2 linked regions of the Drosophila melanogaster genome follow. The protein of the gene in region 2 purifies or fractionates together with the protein of the main gene of each other region. This does not show direct contact. Each region holds a gene or a part of one and is shown on either strand. Other genes may lie near its edges. The genes, in order: Ns2 and CG8611.

Evidence for each region.
Region 1: the proteins of CG8611 (region 2) and Ns2 purify together in Drosophila melanogaster (affinity purification with mass spectrometry, with the first as the bait; one large-scale study listed by BioGRID). This does not show direct contact.

What each region holds. Positions count from the first base shown.
Region 1 is NT_033778.4:17,561,398-17,573,385, forward strand, and holds Ns2 (nucleostemin 2), read right to left. Parts: upstream 7,060-11,988; 5' UTR 6,932-7,059; coding exon 6,722-6,931; intron 6,335-6,721; coding exon 5,656-6,334; intron 5,598-5,655; coding exon 4,462-5,597; 3' UTR 4,384-4,461; downstream 1-4,383. Other genes in the region: Klp54D (Kinesin-like protein at 54D), read left to right, coding at 81-222, 301-1,141, 1,561-1,884, 1,944-1,956; CG43324 (uncharacterized protein), read left to right, coding at 2,388-2,588; CG46428 (uncharacterized protein), read left to right, coding at 3,040-3,321; CG14480 (uncharacterized protein), read left to right, coding at 3,511-3,706, 3,767-3,927, 3,991-4,383; POSH (plenty of SH3s), read left to right, coding at 7,667-7,780, 7,849-7,957, 8,125-9,769, 9,837-10,016, 10,076-10,369, 10,431-10,605; UQCR-6.4 (Ubiquinol-cytochrome c reductase 6.4 kDa subunit), read right to left, coding at 11,006-11,126, 11,255-11,307; CG42239 (uncharacterized protein), read left to right, coding at 11,526-11,636, 11,706-11,804.
Region 2 is NC_004354.4:17,415,834-17,427,524, forward strand, and holds the start of CG8611 (uncharacterized protein), read right to left. Parts: upstream 6,313-11,691; 5' UTR 6,210-6,312; coding exon 6,150-6,209; intron 6,091-6,149; coding exon 4,103-6,090; intron 4,043-4,102; coding exon 3,615-4,042; intron 12-3,614; coding exon of another isoform or gene 1-11. Other genes in the region: CG46464 (uncharacterized protein), read right to left, coding at 6,810-6,965; CG12994 (uncharacterized protein), read right to left, coding at 7,023-7,171, 7,239-7,293; ENGase (Endo-beta-N-acetylglucosaminidase), read left to right, coding at 7,792-8,023, 10,263-10,500, 10,767-11,084, 11,587-11,691. UniProt on the Drosophila melanogaster protein: Probable ATP-dependent RNA helicase.

The sequences.
Region 1 (11,988 bases), on a different chromosome or scaffold from region 2:
CATTGATTTGTTTTCTTAGCCTACCCACCATTTCCATATTGGTTTCGCAAATTGAATTGCATTTTTTATCAATCCCCTAGGTAATCGATTTGCTAAACCCGGGAAGTGCACGAAAACCGTTGGCGGTGCGCTGGTCCAAGAAATCGGGTGGTTTCTTCGTGGAGAACCTTTTCACGGTGGACTGCGAAGAATTGGATGACCTTCTGGCCGTACTGGAAGAAGGTAAGCAGTATTTATACATATGTACATACATTCATAAAGTAGTTGTTTTGCTCACATTCTATATTGTCATTATGGTAGGTATGAGAAATCGTGCTGTTGGCTCTCATGCCATGAACGACCACTCCTCACGTTCTCATACAATATTGACGGTCCACATCCTATCCGATCAGCAGACGGACGGTGGGGTGTTCCTTTCCAAGCACGGAAAGATTAACTTCGTAGACCTGGCTGGCAGTGAGTTAACCAAGAAGACGATGAGCGAAGGGAAAACCCTAGAGGAAGCCAACAACATAAACAAGAGCCTTATGGTCCTCGGCTACTGTATCTCCTCGTTGAGCGATTCCAAGAAAAGGACGGGTCACATTCCGTACCGAGATAGCCAGCTCACCAAGCTACTGGCCGACAGTCTGGCGGGGAATGGTGTCACCTTGATGATCGCTTGCGTTTCCCCCGCCCACTATAATCATGCGGAAACCCTCAACACTCTGCGATATGCGTCGCGGGCGAAGAGGATACGCACCAAGCCCGTGATAAAGATGGATCCGAGGGAGGCGCTGATTCTCAGTCTAAAGCGTGACATCCATGCACTCCAAATGGAGAACGATCACCTGAAGGCGGCATTGAATCTTCATCATCAAGCAGCTCCAAATGGTGGGCCGGTTGAGAATCTTCTGGAGCTTCAACTGGATCGAGTTAGCAGCGGTGGCGGAGTACCAGTGCCCAAAGTTGATTTGCAGCGATTACCGGAGCTTGATGGCTCCGAACTCGCCGAGCTTGTTAAGCTATACATGGTGGAGAACGAATCCCTGAGGCAGGAGAATAATCATCTGTTCACCGTGCGGGAAACCATTCTTAGGGATCAGGAGATAGTCTGCCGAGAAAACGAGCGCCTGCTTAAGAAGCTGGAGGATGTCAATAAGTAAGTGGGATGCTTTGCATGTTGAATTCGGGTCGGAACGATAGTTTTAAGTCTTGAACTGGTTTTTGATTCCTTCTCCAGGACTGGCTCATTGTTCTCTCCCATTTCTGACTCGTTCTAGGTCGAATCCGAACGGGAATGAGGACAGTGAGCCAAGCCAGAAGGTCCAGCCGAATAAGGAGTGAAATATTACCTATATACATATATCGAATGTTTTCTACTTTTTAACCAGTTTTATGTAAAATGTATTCGTAAATGTTAAAAAAAAACAAGCCAAGAGTGTGACTAGTCATGTAAGGATTTGTAATAAAAGTTTGTTTTTGTTCCTATGAAGCTCGTAGCTTCTCTACATTTTTCATTACAAAGTAAAAACACTATGATTAAATTATGATTTAATGTTTATTAATATTCTTTTACAGAGTCTGTGTGCGTTCCCCATTGATACCAGCACGTCCGGCCATATCCCCAACGACAGGAAAGGAAACACCTGGCACTGAGATCTGGACAAATCCAGAACCGCTCCAATCTCCACCAGGACCAGATTTACCAATAGAGCAGCGGATGTCGGAGAACGCTAATAGACGGACAGATACGGCTCAAAAGCGAATCGATCAGAAAAGAATAGCCAAGAACATTCTGATTATGGCCAATGCATTCCGGAAACCGGACTCAGACATTACCAAGGAGTTGAACCTGAATCCGGAGGAGGCGCATGCTAAGCAGTCGACAGAGTTTATGCCAGAGTAAGTTTTTAGAAACATCACCTAATTAATTTTACTCATAATTTCATTTTTATTTCCAGCATGCTCACATAATTAACTTTAAATAAAAACAGTTGTAAACTATATATTTTTGCAATAAATAAAATAAACGGTGTACAAAACATTGATAAAAAAAATCTATAGCCAATAGGACATATATTGATACAATTTATGAAAGCTTATAGTTATTCCAAGATTCAAAAACTGTGAAATCTTTCCCCACACCAACAAGAAGCTTTCACCAACGGCTGGCAAAAGTCGGAAAACTAAAGCACCATTCTCAACGCGGTCACACTTTTTATAAATATTGATTTTTCAGCGCCCCCAATAAAATATTTCATCGAGAAGTAGAGCGCATATTTCTCGCTTACAATATTGGGGAAATCGAAATAAGCACAACTCAAATTGAATCAAATCAATATTACAGCAGTATTAGCATCCCAGCAACCACCATAGGTCTCGCGGAGACAGCCGTCCTGGACATAATGGCTGCTAATTTGCAACAGCAGCGCTCCATCAACTTGCAGCTACGGCGGGAAGTGGAGATGGAGCGTATGCCCGTCTCGGTGGCATGCTCCTTGATGATGAAGTACATGTTGGAGCACGAGGAGGAAGACTGCCTGCTCAGCGGCTTCACACAGAAGGTGAATCCGTTTCGCGAGAAAAGCTCCTGCAGCATCCTGTAGATTCGGATACATCATGATCCGGACCCAATCCTAACAGTATTATCCTATAATGTATACTCAATCACGGCGAAGTTCAGAATCAGTCGTATTACCTATTTGCTGTTCGTTGTAAGTGTGCTGACCTCAATTATGTCTATAAACTAAGTATATACATTGGAAACGGACGAACCGAGAATTTATGGATGTATAAACAAAATACGAGAAACCGTCTTCACCTAAAACGCCTGCATATGTGTGTATGAATATCGTGTATTTTGCTAATCCTGTAGCTCTTTATTGGAGAATTTAGCAAAGCCCCATCCTATATAGATGTTTCCTATTGAGATATTCCTGAAATAAAGTCATGTAACCAGTGATTTTCATGTGAAGGGTATTTGTTTCGATTTACCTGAGGAAGAATTTTCAAAATTTCAGAATGTTCCGGATGAGTGTCTCGCCTTTACCATGGACAATGCGACCAAGCAAGTTCCCATCCGCTAATCCCTACTTTATTTTCTTTGACCACTTTCGGATTAATCTTCAAAAGCGGGACATTTGCCATCTGAAACCGATTTCCTTGGCCAAAATAGCCGGCAGAAAATGGCGAGAAATGACAACCGCCCAAAAATCAGTTTTTGTGCAGATAGCCGAAATAAATCGAGCCAGGCTTAGGGCCCGTGGTCGCCCCAGTGTTCCAGTTGGTAGAGTAAGGCGCTGTCATATTAAAAGAGTTTATAAGGATAGTTCATTTTAGTGGGACTTGGAAAGTTTTTCAACGTTTAACTTAAAATGACACAGAAGCATTAGCAATTCCCGCCACTAGTTCAAATTTTCACGAGCCACTACCAACACTTCTATATCATCGCACAGCTGCTAATTCGACGTTCACCACACTGGCAATAGTTGTGGTCTGTAAAAAAGAGCAATTTTACGAAAGTACAGCATGAGTTCGGGCTTTGTGACTGAAGCTGAGGCGACCGAGCAAAGGCAGAGACGTCAGGAGGAATGGGAGCGTGTACGCCAGCCGGAGGATCCACTAGAACGACCTGAGGAACCCTACGATGGGCGCTCACTTTATGAACGCCTCAAACAAAATAAGGACAAGAAGGACATGGAGTTCGAGGAAGCCCACAAGCTGAGTAAGACTATGCCATAAACAATGCAATCTGGCCATCCTAACATGCGTAATATACGTATAGAAAACCTCATCCGTGGTCTGGACGATGATGAGGTGCAGTTTCTGGAATTGGTCGATGCCCATAAAATACACGCGGAGCGCCAGCAAATGCGCGACGAGGAGCTAGAACTAAAGGATTTTCGCAATCGTGTGGAAAAGCTGCAGGAGGAGAGTGTAGACAAGGTGGGTAAAGTTACAGCAACAATCAATTGATTTTACAATCACCCGAACTTCCGCAACCCTCAGAAACTGCAAGCTGAACTAAAAACCACAGCGAAGTCCGCGGGAGCTTCGGTCGGGCGTAGCACTCAGAAGACGCTGCTCGGCCAGGGCATCAAGAGAAAAAACGGCGAACTGCCCACCACCAGTAAAGTAGCCAAAATCACTGAGAATGAGGTCGAACAGACAGCGACAAATGAAGCAACCAAGGACCCTGCTGATAAGACAACGAACACCACATTAATTACAAACAAATACAACCAGGGGGCCCTAAAGTGCATCGCTATACTTCCGGGCATCGGCTCCTACACGGAGTCTAGTGACTCGGAGGCCAGCACCGATGAGGAGGAACCCAGTATGTGCAGCCGAACCGACTTATGTGGCCGCAAAATTCCCAAGAAGAAGCAGTGCTCAGAGTAGGATCAACTTTTTATTTGGATTCTTAAAGTGTAGTTTTTCCTTGCAAGAAAATATAGCCTAGAGTGTAAACGTAATATTTTACGCGTCCTTCTTTTTGTTTCTATTGCGATTCTTAACATTTGTCGTCTCGTAAAAGTTGCTGCCAATCTTCTTGCGTTTCTGACTGCGCTCCAGGGAGCGTTTTTGCTTTGCAGTCAACCGAGGAGCCTTTGAAGTGCTGGGTCCATCGTCGTCAGAGCTGCCAGCACCATCCGAATCACCAGGTTGTATTTTGGCCACTCGGAATTTACCAGACGATGTGATGGCCAGCTGTTGTGGCTTCTTTGACTTGGCCTTCTTGTGCACAACGCGTTGCAAGTCCTCATTGTACTCGTCCTCCGAGTAAAACTCGTCCGCTCCATCGCTAGACTCCTCGTCCTCTTCACCGAGGTTGTGGATGCGAGCCTTTTTCTTTGCCGCACGCTCGGCCTTCTGTTGCTCTAAAAGCTCTAGATCTATGTGATCAAGATCCTTCACATCTTCCTGCTCATACTCAAGACCCACGCGTATTTTTCGAAAATCTTGGATCTGCTTAAACTCGCGCGCCTTCTTTACAGACTCACTGACGAATGTAGGTGCCTCGGATTTAGCATCTTCGTTGGGATCCTCTGCAACTACTTCCTCCTCCTTACCCTCCTGGGATTTGGGAACTGCGAATCCTTCGGGTGGAACGTAGAAAGGAAGTTTGCCTCGTTGCCAATCGTTAAGCACCATACGGGCTGTTACCGTAACGTCCGGTTCACCGCCTTTTAGCAACTTGCCGGTCTTTTGAGCCAACTGTTCTAAAAAGTGCGTGGATGTGTTCCAGTGTTCAATTTTGTAGTTCTTTGAAATGTACTCCGGACGCACGCGTTTCAGCAGAGAGTCTACGTAATCTTCAGGATTTGTGACGAGCTCCACCCGCACCACACCCTTCAACACTTTCTCGGTGTCAGTCTCCGCGGTGGGATACACCACGCCAGGACAATCGATCAAGAAGATGCGTTTCATTAGCGTTATATACTGCCATACTTTCGTCTCCCCCGCAATTGGTGCTACCTTGCAAACCTTTTTTGATCGTAGCGCATTAATAACAGAAGATTTACCCACGTTGGGATACCCAATGAAGCCCACGCTGATCTGTTTTTTGTCCAAATGCAGTTTGCCCAACTGACGGAATAGATTGATGAGCGCACCTATAAAAATAATTGATTTTTATGACAAATAATTGATATTTTTACTTTATAAACTTACCTTTTCCAAAAGGATGTTGTAGGGAGGCATGGAAGGCAATAGTAGGATATTCGGCACTAAGAATAGCCACCCAACGCTGCGTTACCCACACCGGTACCAGATCAACCTTGTTCAGAATGAAAAATAGATGTTTGTGCGGTTTTTCCTTGCGCAAGAACTCCTCAATGTACTTCGAGCGCGTGCCCATGGGATCGCGGGCATCAAGAACCTGAAGCAGCACATCGGACGCATCGACCACCTTGTGCAACTCGTTCCAGATGCGTTTACTCTGCCCCGCACCGAACACCCAATCACGGACGGCCTTCTTTTCGCCAGTATCCTCGCGGATTAGATCTAAATCCTTAGCTGAATCGTACTTATCGGCCTGGTCATCGGCCGCCTTGCTTAAATCTTCCAGATCGCGAACCTTTAGGCTGACGCGCTTGCGCTGCTTTTTGGGCCCAAAGGTACTGTCGAAGCTCTCGGTGTCCAGCAAATGAACCCTTTTGTATTTTGCTGCCTCGTTCAGTAAAGTTACCGGTAACTGGGATGGCTTCATGATCACCTGGTAGGGATCCTTGACAGCCTTGCCAATCTCATCCTGGAACTTTTGCAAAGCAGTTTGCGAGATAACGCGGGAATTGCTAAACCACTTGGGCGTAGGCTCAACTCGAGCCATTGTTCCAGCAGGCAGGCGCCCCTAAAATAAAGCACATTTCCAGGATTAGTATGAATTATTAAATGGGTTGTGGAAAACATATTCGGCATTTTCTCTCTTGTATTTAATTTTTTCTTTTATATATTTACAACAAGAATGAAAACATAAGATTTGTAATTAAATTATTATACGGATAATAAGTCGTAACAAAATATACTTATGAAATCTTTTTATCTTTTAATGCTTTTAATTTTGAGTCGATCGTTTTAATTGCACCTTTGTGAAGTAGATGATAATTTTGAAAACTAAACAATGGTTATTGGATATTCATGTTGCAATAAATCCTTCCTATGTCTATAAGTGATGGTAAATCTTATGAATCCAAAGATAAGAATTATCGAAGATACATGTTGTAAAGCTAAATCTCACCTGGAAGGGGGCGGGCGTGAGGATCTTTCCAGTGCGATCGCGCTTGGCCTTGAAGTTACGGTACATCTGAAGCCGCTTGATGGTGCCCTTAGTGCGGGGGTGGGCGACTCCCTTGAGACCGCTTTTGGGGCGCTCCGGATTCATGGAGTGGTTTGAGTGGTTGAATCCCTGCGTCCGGGGCTTACCCGGGGTGCTGCGTACCTTTGGCATGGTGTCTCAAGAATGTCGTGTGCCTTGTTTATAAATCAAATCGTATATTTGAACACGATCAAACCAAACCACACGTGTTTTTATATGAAATAAAAAAACAAAGGGATCGTGCGTTTTTCAGCACTGTCTGGACTTAGTATCCAACACTAAAATGCGCTTCAGAAAATATCGACTACGAGGACTGGCCACACTAAAATCCCAACAGTAATAAACACCAGTTTGGGTACAACTTAACAATTATTTGCATTTATTAAATGCAACTATAACCGGGGCACATGTGGTATTTAAATAATTTTTTGCAAATTTAGTGAATTTAAAAAACATGTAGTACTCTCTTAGCTTCTTTCTTTTTGGTTAAATGTTATGGAACTACTATTCCTATTGGGCATATACTTATGACCATCACTGTGTTCAAGTATCAAGCTGGTTTTATATCCGTGTGCCTATGTACATTTGTATCCGCTTGGCCACGAGCTTTGGCTGCACTTGGCAAACTTAATAAATTAAACATTGAATCCTGCCTATTGCAACGATAATATAATCTGATTTAGTGCATTAAGAACGACAAGTAGCGATTATAATAGTAGATTTTAGCATTTGAGCTAAATTTATTTCCCAACCGCGTCTTGGGATTGCGTATGCGTGAGCCAGTACCTGCATGTGTGTGTGTTTTGGAATGTGGCCCTGCACGAAATTCAAATAGTGACCATCCTTGAGATTTTGCATACTGGCAAGATGGACGAGCACACGTTAAACGACCTGTTGGAGTGCTCCGTGTGTCTTGAGCGACTGGACACCACATCGAAGGTGCTGCCATGCCAGCACACCTTCTGCCGCAAATGCTTGCAGGTGAGTAATTGTTGTGGGTTTGCTACATATATATCATATAACCGAATGATTTCATCATTCTATGCCAGGACATTGTGGCCAGTCAGCACAAGTTGCGATGCCCGGAGTGCCGCATCCTGGTCTCTTGCAAAATTGATGAGCTGCCTCCAAACGTCTTGCTGATGCGAATCTTAGAAGGTAACAGCTAACGCCCACACCAACCTAAACTGGCACAGCACAACAGCCTACGCTCAAAATCAAAGAATGGTTGACTTTATGAGTGCGGCAAAGTGGCTTTGGCAATTGAATATGGCGTTTACCTGGTCTTTACCTACCTTTAAACACCCTTTCTTTAATTCTCACAGGCATGAAACAAAATGCAGCAGCTGGCAAAGGAGAAGAAAAGGGAGAGGAGACTGAAACACAGCCGGAAAGGGCCAAACCTCAGCCGCCAGCGGAATCAGTGGCCCCGCCTGACAACCAACTACTCCAGCTGCAGTCACATCAGCAATCTCATCAGCCGGCTCGTCACAAGCAACGTCGATTTCTACTCCCCCACGCCTATGCCCTCTTTGACTTCGCCTCCGGTGAAGCCACCGATCTAAAGTTCAAGAAAGGGGATCTGATACTGATCAAGCATCGCATCGACAACAACTGGTTTGTGGGTCAAGCGAATGGTCAGGAGGGCACATTTCCCATCAACTACGTCAAGGTATCGGTTCCGCTGCCCATGCCGCAGTGCATTGCCATGTATGACTTTAAGATGGGGCCCAACGACGAGGAGGGATGCCTCGAATTTAAGAAAAGCACTGTAATACAGGTAATGCGCCGAGTTGATCATAATTGGGCAGAAGGACGAATTGGCCAGACCATCGGAATCTTTCCAATAGCATTCGTTGAGCTGAATGCAGCGGCCAAAAAGCTGTTGGACAGCGGGCTACACACCCATCCATTCTGCCATCCACCGAAGCAACAGGGGCAGCGGGCCCTTCCTCCGGTTCCAGTTATTGATCCCACGGTGGTCACGGAATCCAGTTCGGGATCCTCCAATTCCACGCCGGGCAGCAGCAATTCAAGCTCCACATCCAGCTCGAATAACTGCAGTCCGAATCACCAAATCTCACTGCCGAATACCCCCCAACATGTAGTAGCTTCCGGATCGGCGTCTGTTCGTTTCCGTGACAAGGGAGCAAAGGAGAAACGCCACTCACTAAATGCTTTGCTGGGAGGAGGAGCTCCATTAAGTCTGCTGCAGACCAACCGCCATTCGGCTGAAATTCTTAGCCTGCCCCATGAACTAAGCCGCTTGGAAGTTTCCAGCTCAACAGCTCTAAAACCCACGTCAGCCCCACAGACATCGCGTGTACTTAAGACCACTGTTCAGCAGCAGATGCAACCGAATTTACCCTGGGGATACTTAGCCCTGTTCCCATACAAACCACGCCAAACGGATGAGCTGGAATTAAAAAAGGGTTGTGTTTACATTGTGACCGAACGATGTGTGGACGGTTGGTTCAAGGGAAAAAACTGGTTGGACATCACTGGAGTGTTCCCGGGCAACTACCTGACGCCCCTGCGCGCCCGCGACCAGCAGCAGTTAATGCATCAATGGAAATATGTTCCCCAAAATGCAGACGCCCAGATGGCACAAGTACAGCAGCATCCAGTTGCACCAGATGTGCGACTCAACAACATGCTGTCCATGCAACCGCCTGATTTGCCACCTCGTCAGCAGCAGGCTACCGCCACGACCACCAGTTGCTCTGTGTGGTCGAAACCAGTGGAGGCGCTGTTCAGCAGAAAATCGGAGCCCAAGCCTGAAACTGCCACAGCTTCGACTACGAGCAGCAGTTCCTCTGGAGCAGTGGGACTTATGAGGAGATTAACTCACATGAAAACACGCTCCAAATCTCCGGGAGCGTCCTTGCAGCAAGTTCCGAAAGAAGCTATTAGCACAAATGTGGAATTTACAACAAACCCATCAGCTAAATTGCATCCAGTACATGTAAGGTTAGATCCGCAATAATAAGTTATCTTTATAGACCAGAATAAAAGTTTAATTGTTTTGTCTCTTCAGATCCGGCTCGTGCCCCAGTCAGCTGCAGCACAGTCAACCGCTCAATGAAACTCCAGCAGCCAAGACAGCGGCACAACAACAGCAGTTCCTACCCAAGCAGCTGCCTTCCGCTTCTACGAACAGCGTTTCGTACGGATCGCAACGCGTGAAAGGAAGCAAGGAACGTCCTCACTTGATTTGGTTCGTTAGGCTTAATTTGAATGCTTTAACTTTTAACTGACTCTTGGATTTTGATTCAGCGCGAGACAATCATTAGATGCAGCTACATTTCGCAGTATGTACAACAATGCCGCGTCGCCGCCGCCACCTACTACTTCCGTGGCCCCAGCTGTCTACGCCGGCGGTCAGCAACAGGTGATTCCTGGAGGTGGAGCGCAATCCCAGTTGCATGCCAATATGATTATTGCACCCAGCCATCGGAAGTCGCACAGCCTAGATGCGAGTCATGTGCTGAGTCCCAGCAGCAATATGATCACGGAGGCGGCCATTAAGGCCAGCGCCACCACTAAGTCTCCTTACTGCACGAGGGAAAGGTGGGTTTTGCAATACATTATTGTGAGCTTAGAGATTTACTAATGCAACCTTTTATCGTAGTCGATTCCGCTGCATTGTGCCGTATCCACCAAACAGTGACATTGAACTAGAGCTACATTTGGGCGACATTATCTACGTCCAGCGGAAGCAGAAGAACGGCTGGTATAAGGGCACCCATGCCCGTACCCACAAAACCGGGCTGTTCCCCGCCTCCTTTGTTGAACCGGATTGTTAGGAAAGTTATGGTTCAAACTAGAATTTATTAAGCGAAATTCCAAATTACTTGTCTAAAAGGATTCAATCGTCGGTCTATTCGGGCTTCCAAATACGCAATCTCATATTTCTCTTTTCAAAAAAGAAACCGTTTTGTACTCTTCCAATCGAATGGGCAGCTCGCCGTTGTACTTTTTTATACAATGCTTGATCAAAATAGGCTAGCCATGTAAGACTTAGGGAACAGTTACTTAAGCCTTAGCGATTAGTTAGCTAGAGAAATAATCTAACCGATCCTTGTGCCCTCTACAAAGTTATTTGTAATATACGATACTCAGTAATACCCTTTGGTCGTTTTAACTTATTTTATTCACCAAGCAAAACATCGAGGCTAACTGTGGATTCAACTACGGCAGGCAAGGTTACTCGCTTTTTTCGAACTTGGATCCGTAGATGGGCACGTACTGTAGGACCAGCTTCCAGTCGGTGTAGTAAAGCACGGCCAGGCCAGCAGCTCCTCCGAATCCGGCTCCAGATCGGATGCTACGAATTAAAAGAAACTAGTTTAGTTCTCTGGATGGGGTTATGCAATGTGTGCTTTGGTAGCAGTAAAAGAGCGGGAACACTAATGAATTCATGATGCAGAATCAAGCACGACAGCATATACTTACAAGGAACTCGCTATCTCAGCGTGCTTCTTGCCAAAAGGTATGCGGAAAGCCATTTTTGTTGATTTAATAACTTTTCACACGCACCAAAATGTTCGCAATGAACGCAATAGTTTCAAATGTCCTAAATAATACCACTACAGTGTGACCGTAGGATAGCGTAAAACTTTAAAAGCAAGGTGTGACAACACTGTGCGGCCTACGTGAGAACAACAACTAGTCATCAACAAAAACTAATATTCGCAAAGAACTCATCAAAAATTACGAAATTAAAATGAAAATATCCGTTTTTGGGGAGCTTAACACATTCGAGCTGTTTGTCCTGTCCACTGTGATACCGGCGGTGTTCGTTTTCCTTTGGACTCTGATATCTGGCGATATGAAGGTACGGCAGATAGTGCTTATCAGAATGGTTAATTTTAAGTAATTTTCCCTTTCTGCCCTGAGTTTACAGAACTTCAAGGGCAGCAAATTGGCATACTCAGTTTATACGGCCAAGGATCCCATTAATTGCTATCAAGACTACGAACCAGAGAAGCAAAAGGATACGTAGACTATGTGCCGGGTTGGATTACCAGGGCCCACCATCTTTTATACTTTTATTGCATATATGTATGTATGCAAATTGTGTGATGAATAGAAGAGGGTTTTTGAAAAAAGACAATAAACCTTTGTGGGCTGCATTTCATATTTTGTTTTTTCTTTGTAGCTTTCGGCAATTTTCATATATTTGGAAA
Region 2 (11,691 bases):
TCAAGTTTTGTCTTCATATATATATAAAGAAAAATTATAATATGAATAATACGTATGGTAAAAAATCATAAAAACGAATTGCTAATCCATCTTCTATCTATTGCAAATAACAACCTAAACAAAAGGTGTTGTCCCTTCTCACTTGAAAATCATGTTTTAAATTACTGTTATGTTTTCTTATAACCAACTATGTTTGCATTATTCATCACACTGTACGCCGCTAAATTAGCTTTAATAAACTAGTCGCCCTTCCGTTCCCAGGAGTTCGTAATTGACTACCGAAGAGCCGCACATCCCGGCCACACACACCGAATCCTCCAGCCACAGGACGACGGCAGGATGATTCCGGAACGAACTCCAGATCCCAGAAAAACAGGAAGCACTGATGGAGGACAGGGATGAGGAGTGGCAAGCCCAGCAGAGATGGATGCAAAGACGTTCCTGCCCCGGCAATTAACTCGCAGCAGTGCTCTCTGCATCCCGGTTTTCAGTTCAGTTCAGTTCATAGTGGCGAGTGTCCTTTTTTGGGGACCAAAGCACCAAAGGACCAAAGTCTCGAAGTCAAGCCCTGGGCTTTCTGGTTCTGGCTTAATTGCCGCAAATGCGATTACGGCCAAGTGGCAGACATTAGGCAAACAAAAAGTATGACGGCAGCGGATGTTTAGAGACGTCTGCCAGCCGGAAGTGGCGAATAAAATAAATGTCATTTCGTGGAAAGAAGTTTCGTGGTGGAGGAGAGAGTGCGGAATCCACCGCAGAAGCCACACAAAATGGCTTTTTATGCCATTGTCTCGGTGGTTTTTGGTCTTCTCTGGCTGTGGGTGTGGGTGTGGGTGTTCCTCCTCCGGATTTTGTGGTGGTTTCTTCAGCGCGTGTCCATGCGGTTTGTGTAGGCGTGGCAAATTGTTGTGATTGTTTTTCAGTCCACCCATTGCCATTCTATTACCATTGCCATTTCGCAACCCCCAGACGAAGGGTTCTAGATGGGATTTCCTCACTCGATACCCACTAATCGGGGGTGTCGCCCTAAAGCGTGGGACTTATGGGTCATCAGGGGCTTAGTTTCGAAAGGCATTAACAGAACTCTTTCCATTTAGCGGTATAATGGCAAACAATGGGCCAATGGACCAAGGCAGTGAAAATATGCCATAGAATACGCCAAAAAAATGATTGTAAGTCAAAGGGGAACTATGAGGATCAGCGTGCATGTCAGCGGATTATCCTGCGTTTGAAAAACAGATGTTTTTCGAGAGAGAGATATATCGGGAAATGTGGTTATTTTGAAATATACAATACATTTTAGGTGGTTTAAAAACGCATTATTACTTTCATTGATTGAAGACCTCAATAAATAGTCTTCAATTATAGAATCCGCAAGAACTTAAGTATAGTCAGAAGAATATATAATCTTCTTTCTTTGGAGAACATTTTACATTCCCTGTTCTCTACCATTTACCATTGTCTTACATCTGCGAAACGCACTGTAGCACGAACTACTGTAACTTTAAAAAGCCTGAAGTCTGAAGACAAAAAGTGAATTCCAAGTTGAAAATTGTTTCAATTACCGATGCAATGCAAGTCGCAGATGTTCTTCCCTCTCTTTCCCAGCTCGTTTGTCCCTCCATCGCCCGTCTCTTTCGTACACCACCCACCCACATTTGCCGTCCCTCTCTGGCTGCCTTTTATCTGCTGCTTTGTACAGTTTTGTTCAAGCGTAATACTTTTTAATGGCTTTTTGATTGGACGCAGCAGAGCAGCAGCAGTAGAAAACTGCATCCTCCAGCAGGACCCTTTCCCCTGCCCACTTCGAATCCGGATGTATCGCCCTGTCTCTTTCGCCCCGCCTAGTGTCGTCTCTTTCGGGCATTTTGGCTGCTCCGCTCTTAAGTTTTGCCAAGTGGCTTCCTGTCTTGACGCTTGACTCGGCGCTTAAGTGCAATTTGCGTTGCCATTTTGACCGACTCTCGCTCTCGCCTATATGAATGTATCTGTGTATGAATGTATTTATATATCCTTCATCCTTTATTTATCTTGCTGTTTTGCCATTGTTTTGCGATATTTCGCTCAGTTTCCGTTTCCTGTTTCGAGTCGCAGTCGCCATCTCAGCCATCAAAGGATCTTCCCCATTCGCATTGCCTGGTTTTTTTGGTTCCTTTTCCCCATTTATGATTCATTTTGGGTGCCTCTTTTCGATTAGAATCGTTTCCACTCGCCTGCCGCTCGCTTTTATGAGTCCTTTATGTTTCAATCGCAGGAAAATGGGGAAAATATCGTCTGGATTCAACTCAACCCTTCAAACGCGCCTTGGTAACATCTAATTAACTTTTTTCCAGCCTTTTCAACGCTGCAATTACATTTTCAGCAGAATGGTAGACAAATGCATAGCTGGCAGACGTGGATATACCTAGTGAAAATATTATTAGGAACAGTGCACTGTGTAAACGTAAAGTTACAACATTTCTACAAAACAGCCCCATCAGTTTGAATTTTTAAAATTTTTACATTCACCGCTTATCCTCTTGAACTTCATAAGTCTTAAGTCCCATACTGCTTATAGTTTTCACGCTATGATCGAACAACTACAGCAGATTTTCATTTCGTATAAATAGGTGTGCAAAGACACATCCCTCCTGGTGCGATTCGTCACTACTTGGACTCCTATTCTCAGTGATTAATAAATGAAATAGTTTGTTATCTAAGAAATATTTGTGAAAGCAGTAGCTTAGTTTTTGATTGTACTCTTATTAGATTGGGTAAAACATCCCTTGATATAATATACCCTTTTCACTACTTTTTAATGGGTAGCTCCCCTACTCGCGTTTTGAAAAGCAAATAAAATAAAATGGGAAATAAATGAAGGCAGAAAAAAGGATCGGGCGATGAAAGAAGTCGCTGGTGGTCACTTGCCGCGATGACGGACGAAGGTGGTGGCCAGCCAGGGGGTTGGTGGTCGAGAGGGGGTGGTGTTGGGCGGGGTGGTTGGGTGGTTGGAGGTCGTCGAAGGAGCGAACAGAACAGAACGGAGCGGAGCGGAAGTGGGGGAATCATTTGACACGCAATCGAAATTAACTTCAAATATGAAATAATTTTTGTGTTTTTAACGCGCGCTGCCCCGTGGATGATAACTGCGCCCGTCTGGGGGCGGTCAAAAGAGCGGGGGCGTGGCCCGGGCTTCCAACTTATAATTGGAAAAATAGCCGAGAGTTTGTGTGTTTGTCTTGGTGCCTTTTTTGTATTCAGCCACCCGAGTGTTGTAAAAAATCGTAATTACAAAGTTAATGTTCTTTGGTGAAAGGATTAAATTGCTAGTTTGTCCAGGGATATCGGAGTTGGGGCAATTGGAAAAGTAAGTGCCATGGGAACTCGTCCAATGCCACAGGATACGTAGGGGTTCTCCGTATATTCTGAATACGAAAAATCCGACAGCCTGCTTGTGGTAATGGTACGATTAATTGGTATTGATTGCAGTCAGCATTAACGAAGGGAAAATCAGTTAAAGCGACTCAAAAGATAAACATTCTATACTCAGATACATTAGAAATGCACAGCTTTCAAAAGCAATTCAAGTGAAAGACGTATTATAGCAGGAGTGCAGCCGTAATAGAGGAACCTACCTTTGCAGGACTTGTCGTGTAGTTCGCGATCATCCTCGAGCAGCGTCTGGAACTTGTGCTGCAGATTGGAGGCCGCCTCCTGCACCGTCCTGGCCTCATCGTCCTTGGGCAGCAGGGTCTGCAGGTAGGCGTACATGTCGCCCTGCTGGATGCGGATGCGCTTCTTCTCCAGATGCCGCACGAACTGGGCCTCGCTGGGCGTCAGGAAGAGCACGGCTCTGCCCTTTCGGCCCGCTCGAGCCGTTCGACCCACGCGGTGAACAAAATCGGCGGTGGTTTGCGGCGGCGTGTACTGCACCACCAGTTTTATGTCGGGAACATCGATGCCACGACCCACCACATCGGTGGCCAGCAGGACGCAGCTGGCGCAATCGCGGAAGCCACGAAAAACGCCCTGCCGTTCCGTCTGCGTCATGGAGCCATGTAGTCTGTGGAAGAAACAAGCACTTAGGAGGTGCAATTCATTACAAAACATCAAAGCAACTCACTTGAAGAAGCGCAGACCCTGCAGTAAAGGTATGTCGCCGTCGTCATCCGAATCACCTTTCTCCTGCTCGTCCTCCTCGTCGAGAACTCGCCTGGTCAACGCCTCGTTGAGCATGTCGTGATGGAAGTTCACCATCTCCGTGGTGCTCATGAACACAATCGCCTTGAACTGCTTGGGACTGGCGTCCACTTCCTTGGCCAGCAGCGAAGACAGTGCCACCAGACGTAGTTTTGGCGGCACCACCACATAGCTGAGCTGCAGGTTCTCGGGAATACTCAGCACACCCGTCACATCCTCCTGGTACTCGCCCAGTCCGTCGTCCACCTCTAGCAAGGCTTCTATGGTCTCCTTTTGGTAGCCATCCTTGCTCTTCAGCGCCGCACTCGCCGCCTCGTCGCTGTTGTCTATGTACAGGGGATTCTTGAGGGTCAAACCGGCCAGCTGTTGGACCTGCGAAGTCAAAGTGGCACTCAGCAGCATCCTTTGCAGCTGGGGAAGCTCCTTGTCCTCGCACTCCGCACGCTGCTTGTCAATGGCCTCCACCAACTGCTTGACATCGCGTTCGTAGCCCAGCTCCAGCAGGCGATCTGCTTCGTCCAGTATGAGGAACTGCAGTTTGGTCAGCTTGAAGGAGGCCGTGTGCAGCAGGTGATCCACCAGACGACCAGGTGTGCCTATCAGTATGTTGATGCCCTTTCTTAGCCTGGCCTTTTCGCTTTTCCTGCTCTCGCCACCCAGCAAAGAACCGGGCACTATCCATGTGTACGGCTTGACCAGCTTCTGGATGAGTTCGTATGTCTGCATCACCAGCTCCCTGGTGGGTACAATCACCAGGGCCAGCACGCCATCCTTTCGCTGTATCCGTGGCTGCTGTTTCTGCAACAGTTCCACCAAGGGTAGAGCATATGCCAGGGTCTTTCCCGAGCCCGTCTGCGAACGTACGAGCACATCCTTGCCCTGGAGAACTTCGGGAATGGTCTTCTGCTGCACGCTAGTTAGCTCTCGAATGCTAAGCAGATCCTCCAAGTTCTTTACAGCATGAGGATGCAGTCCCAACGTGGATATTTTAGAGCCTGTAAAGATGGTCTCCTTGACGGGCTTCACCGCTCTTTGGCCCAGTTGCTTGAGTGCCTCCACGTCGCTTTGGTCGAAGAGGCCGATCTTCTTGGTGCGAAAACGGTTTGTGGACGAGGTTTCCTCGGCTTTCGGTGGTTTCTTCGCGGTTTGTTTGGGTTCCTTTTCTTGTCCAGGAGATTGTGCACTGGATTCATCTGGTTCCTCATCGGATGTTGCAGATTCTTCGCCGGATTCGCCGGAATCCTCAATATCTGATGACTTTTTGGACTCCTTAACGGCTGAACTCGGTTTTACCCTCGGAGATCCCCCTCCTGAGTTGTTCTTCGCATCCTCCTCATCGGCGCTGGCTTCCTGATCCCCTCCTCCCTCTTCACGACGCTTTTGCCGCCTCTCCTCCTCCAGTTGAGCGCGGAAAAGGTCACCGGGCGTGGGTAATTGATTTGGATTTTTTGGCTTTTTGTTGCTCTTCAGCGCCCGCGTGATCTGCTCTTCGCTGAGCTTCGTCAGTGGCTTGCCCTGCCTCTGTTTCTTGCCCAATCTTTCGGCTCGTGTGATTTTTGGCTTGGCTTTCTGGGCAACCACCGGCTTTGTGGTCACATTTAGCATGAAATCGTCGCCTAAAACGCTCTTAACAGGTGGTTTCGTTGGGCTAACATTGAACATAAGATCATCGTTGGATGCATTTGCTTTGGGGGATGCTGAAAGAGTGGAAATTGCGGATTTGCTGGAGGAAACTGAAGGCGTCGGCGATTTCGTGGTATTGGGAACTGATGAATTTGTAGGTTCAACTTTCGAAGGAGGCGCCCTTCTTCGCACAACGATTGCCTTGACTTTGGGCTTGTCCACATTGAATTGAAAGTCGAAATCCTGGGATTTCTGTGCACGTTTTTTAACCGAAAGCGCGGGCGACTGCTGAAATCAAATATACAATATATAAACACCACTTGAATAACATAGACATAGCCACTAACCTGTTGATTTTTCCGAGCCGACGACTTTACAGTAACATTCAGTGATATATTTTCCACCATTTTGGCACAATTGATGCTCGCAACCAAAGAAGAATCGCGAAACTTTTGTAAATAATAACGAATTGAATAAAACGTGCGTGGCTCTTCTTCTTCGTTTGCCACTCACAGCGAAAAGGTATGGTTACATCTGTTAGCGCGCCAGTGCTACCCATAGAAAAGCACATAGCGCTGCCAGATGAGGAAAAAAAGAAGCATAAGCGCTAAATTCAAATTGCACAATATATCGTTTAAACATCTTTAGTTGAATTTGGCAAAACACAAGAGCCCGTTATATTTAATATTGTATATTAATATATTTCGTATTTGGCAAATTCAGTAACATGTTTGTATTTTAAAGTAACTTTCTCTAAATATAATATGCTTACAACGAGTTTCGCACGCGACATTTGACGACGACCAACAAAAAAAAAAAAAAATAGTTTCACGCATTCAACTGCCTTGGGCAGCGAAGCGCATGGGGTTCCGTAGTAATTGTGGTTTTTGGTGGGTGGTGCTGGGTGGAATGGGCTGGTGGTTCTGTGGTCTGGCGGCTGGGTGGCCCTGGTGGTTTACATACGTGGGTGTCTGCTCTCCTTCGTTTTTCACATCCATGTGGGCATGTCAGCCCCAGCTGCGGGCACAGATGTCGACCACAGACCAATGCATGACGGTGACGGCTGCCTGTGATCCTGCTGGCGATGGTGATACTCCCCCGGGACTGGCCTCAGGAACCCCGACAGCGCTCTGCGATTTGCCAGCTCCCTCCTCCATGCCCATGACCTCATCCCGGGTATGCCCCTGCTGCTCCGTCGTTTGGCAGGCCGCGTACAACAACTATGCGGTCACGTAGTACTCCCGCTGCCTCTTCTGGCACTTCTCGCGCGCAATGTAGCACAAGGCGATCGTGATCAGGAGCACTATGGTCACGCCCATGCCGATGCTTACCCACATGATCTCCTCGTTGATGCCCACATAGGAGCGTCCTGGAGAAAACATAACATAACATACAATAAATCAATGTTAGGGGAATAATCCACATACAGAACCCACCATTGTAGTAGTGATTGGAGTAGCCGGCCTTGCCAGCCACTCGACCCGCTGGCATTTTGCGAAAAGTTCGGGTCAAGTAATAAATAAATGTGCGCGCCCTTTATTTATGTTTGGCTACTTGGCTCGCTGGCCAGCAAAGTTTCAACGGGCTATTTGTTGCTATTGCAGCTGGTTGGGATATTTTATTGGGTTTCTCCTTCTGTTCTTCAATTTCTTTGCCCTTGTTTAATTGGAATTTATGTGTGCAGGCGCACTCTTCGCTTCTCAAGGTCTTTCGGTGGCGCCAGCAGGACCTGAAATTAGCGAAGAGAAAACAAAATTAGAGTAAAATCATTGCTGAAGTTGATATTTTGTCGCGTTTTGAGTGCCATTCAAATTTGCGCGGGCTGTAGTGTTTTGCAGCACTGCTCTGCCCGTTTTACATCACTGCTGAGAAAGAGAAAGAGCACTGCTGTCAGCTGTTTTTAAGTAAATAAACATATTAGTTTTCGACGATTTGATTGTTGCTTATTTGTGGAGTTTCAGGTCAAAATTAATTGTTGGAAATTGTAAGATGGATAGTTTGGAGTCTAAGGAACTGGCAAGCATCAGCAAAGTGATGGAAAACAATGATAAAGCGAGCGAAAATGACAAAATCACCGGCATTACCACCGAAGAAGAAGAAGAAGTTGTTCCCGTGAAGAAGAAGAGAACTGAAGAGGGAGGGGGTGAGCTTAAGGAGGTAGCATGCGAGAAAGAGACAGTGCAACGCGAAAAGTGCCAAGACAAGAACACCTGTAGATGCTGTAAGTCCATCTCTTTCTCTGACACATATATCAGTCTCTATTGCACTATTTGTTTTTTAGGGAAAAGTGAACTTTCATTTTATTGAAATAAATATATTCAACTATTATTTACTACTTTTAAAGTAGTAAAAAAAAAATTGAATAGAGTAAGCGACATGGGTTTTTGTTAGTTCATAATAACAACCTTATCTTTAAAGCTCTCTATTACTCATTCTATAATTTGAGTAGTGATAATGTTTCTGTTTGTTAAATACGTTTTCTTGGTATGTACATAGATGTCATTCTATAAATAGTGTACTTTAGAGATTTAGAGATCAGTAAAACTAGAAAATTTGCTAAGATTACCGAAGTTATCATTCGCTTTAAAGTTGAACGAACATAAGCAATAGCACTCTTTGTTCATCATGAATCCTTTAAGCGTGTCCCTTTTATCTGACCAAGGATAGTAATAGACTTTTGGATCATTTCGTATGCAGGGATTGTTCCTGGCCAGAATCCATATCCTGGCATCCGTGATAGATTAAAGTAACGCCCAGGCACAAATTGCTTGAAAACGTCACGCCTGTCGTCCTTTTCCCTGCCATATCTGCTGCAGTTGCAAAAAGTTTCGCCCAAGCACACTGAGAAAAACGAATTGCACCGCATCCATAAGCCTTAGAAATAAATTCAAGGTGTAAAACAACAGCACTGCGCACCGAAATGAGCCCTTGTGGCCATGGTTCATTTGAAAGAAACCTCTAACTGGCTAAATTTTCTCGCAGTGCAGCAGCAAACACAACAGGAAGCAGCGCATCCTTCCGTTTCCATGCTGCACATTCAGAAACTGCAACTGCAATCGAAATGAGTGCGAAGGTCGCTTTTGACCAGGCCCAAACCGAAAACCCGTTAGTGAAGTGGCTTTAACTCGGCTTTCGACTTGAATAATTCATGTCCAAAAAACGGCATACTATGCCACGCATCGCAATCCAATATAATGCCATTTTCAGGGCTCACGTACCAAAAATCGTGCAACACAAAAGTTGGGAGTTGGGAGTTTTTTGGACCGCCAGCGATAAGGGCGATAACTGAATCATTTGTTTTCGCTTTTCCCCCCGGAAAATTGCGAACTTTAAAGGAAACTCCTGCCTGCGTGGTAATGAAAATAAAGCGTTCACCCGTTATTTAACCGCGCATTAAGTGCAGTTGACGTTCCCGGCGGCGTTGGCTAATTGAAAAGCGCCAACTGCAGCCAGCATGGGTTAACTTAACCCCACACTAACCCCTCGACTCATGATTAAATGGCTGTCTGGGGTATTTATAGACCGGCAATCCTTTCTGGTTAGCAACTGCTGCACAATCCCATTAAGATTGCTTATTTCCACAACTATCTCTTGCTTTTAAGTAGCAGCAATACATTTGTATAAATATAGATAGATTACTCGTTAATATTGTGAGGCATATAACAGGATAATTGCTCACGGCATGTATCTTAGAGTTCTCACACTCTCTCTTAGGTTAAGATATCTAATTTCCCCCACTATCTCAGCTAAACTGAACCTTTTATATTATTCATGACACTGGATACTATTATTTAATTGGAGCAAGAATTTGCATAACAGCTGCACTTAATCGCCATTGAAATTATCTGGCGGAAATAATAACCAGCTCGCTAGTTTGACCGTGACAAATTCAGCGGGTCAAGTGGCGAATGCGAAAATTGAAAAACTTTAAGTGCTTATGCGGAAAATGCAGAAGAAAGAAATTCAGCTCGTTCTACGAGCGTTGTAAAAATGCTACTAAACGCCGGTAATTGGGTTATAAAATTCACTTATTCACGTTTAATGGGTATTCGAATATGGAAAGTATAACGCTTTTTATTATGGAGAATTACAGAATTTATTAGCTAAGAATGTTCCATAAAATACATATACCCCTTGAAGGCAATAAATAAGTCGCTATTAAGGTACTTAAATACATGCAAGTTTTAGTTTGTCTGGTTTTTGAATTAGAGAACTGTTCAACAACCCAAAGTGTTATAAACTAGGCAAACTGTTTTTTTTCCAGTGGGGCTCAGGCAACCCATTGCCATTTCATGGCACAAATATTCGAGATATAAAAACATAAGCTAGAGATTAGCTAGTAGCGAACCGCTGTCCCATTCTCCATTGTCCACTGAGCCCTCGAGCGGTTCGCATCCGCGCAAAGATCTTAGAAGTAATGTCTTTACGACGTGGACTTTACATATCCCCCGCCCTTGCAGCCCAACTGGAGGCGGAGCCTATCAAGGATAACCGCCAGCTGCTGGAGTTTCGGGTGCGAAGCCGGAACATCGACTGGCGCGAGTACGTCCTGCCACTGGACACCAGCGTTCGAACGACACCCGTCTATCTGGACCGCCAGGCGGACTTCGTGGGCAGCACCCGGCGCCAGGTGACCGAGGATAATCGCCGGGAACTGCTCGTCTGCCACGACATGATGGGCAACTACCTCGAGGATCGGTGAGTCCTTAAACTGAGAAGTTTAACAACAAAAGGAGGGGGTACCTGGGATGCAATCCCTTTACGAATTTACCTAACAAAAAGCCCATGTCAGGTCAATGCAAATGTATTGCAACTTACTAATTTTCAAGCCACTTGATGCAATCGAAGTTGTACTAATGAATATCTGCCGCAAAAACAGGCGAAGCTATGCGGTTTCATTAAACTTGGAAGCCAGAGGGGTCCGAAAATAAAGTTTTTTTTAATGGTTTTTTGTGTTTTGCCAGGCACTTTCACAGCTCCCAGAAGTACGACGACTATCGATTCGTGCACTGGTCAGCCGTGGATTACTTCTGTTACTTCAGCCACGACTACGTGACCATTCCGCCCTGTGGTTGGCTGAATGCCGCCCATCGCCACGGAGTTCCGGTGGTGGGCACGTTCATCGTGGAGGCTACCGCACGGCTGGACGAGTTTCTGGCCAGCGAAGAGAGTGTCGAGAGCACCGTGGAGGCTCTAACCCGTCTCTGTGAGCACTTCGGCTTCGAGGGATGGCTGGTCAACGTGGAGGTGACTGTTCCCCTGGCCAAAATGCCCAGACTATAGTGAGTACTCATGGACAGTGCATCCTAAAAAAAAGGGTCCTTGTTACCCCTTTAAAATTCGCACACAAGCTGTTAGCTAGTAAAAGTTTTAGAATGCGAGTGTTTACATGAAAAATGGCTGTGTATCAGCGCCTCTTGCAACCAATTCGCCATAGGAGCAAACTTTGGCCTTGTATCAGCTGTCCAATTTATCAACAGCTTCTGCAATTCAATCTATCATGAACTGTCAAAAGCAAAACGAGCTTTTCTATTTTCACACTACAATCAAGTTGACTTATTGCACTTTGCACAAGTCAATGGAACGCATAAGTTCGATTGCACATAAGATAACATCCGCATGGAATTTAAAAAATTCGGAATAATAGTGAAGAGCATCTGAAAAGCAGGCAATTCTTACTTGATATATAAAGTGAATTTGGCGCCGAAACTAATCCTAACGTAATGGCTGTAACCTTGAGATCGATTCATGCTAATCCCTTTATGGCGTTTCCATTTTCCACAGCCGCTTTGTCCGGCAACTGACGGCTGCCACGGAGTCACGTGTGCCACATGGTCGTGTCTTTTGGTACGACAGCGTTACGGACGACGGCCAACTCCGGTGGCAGAA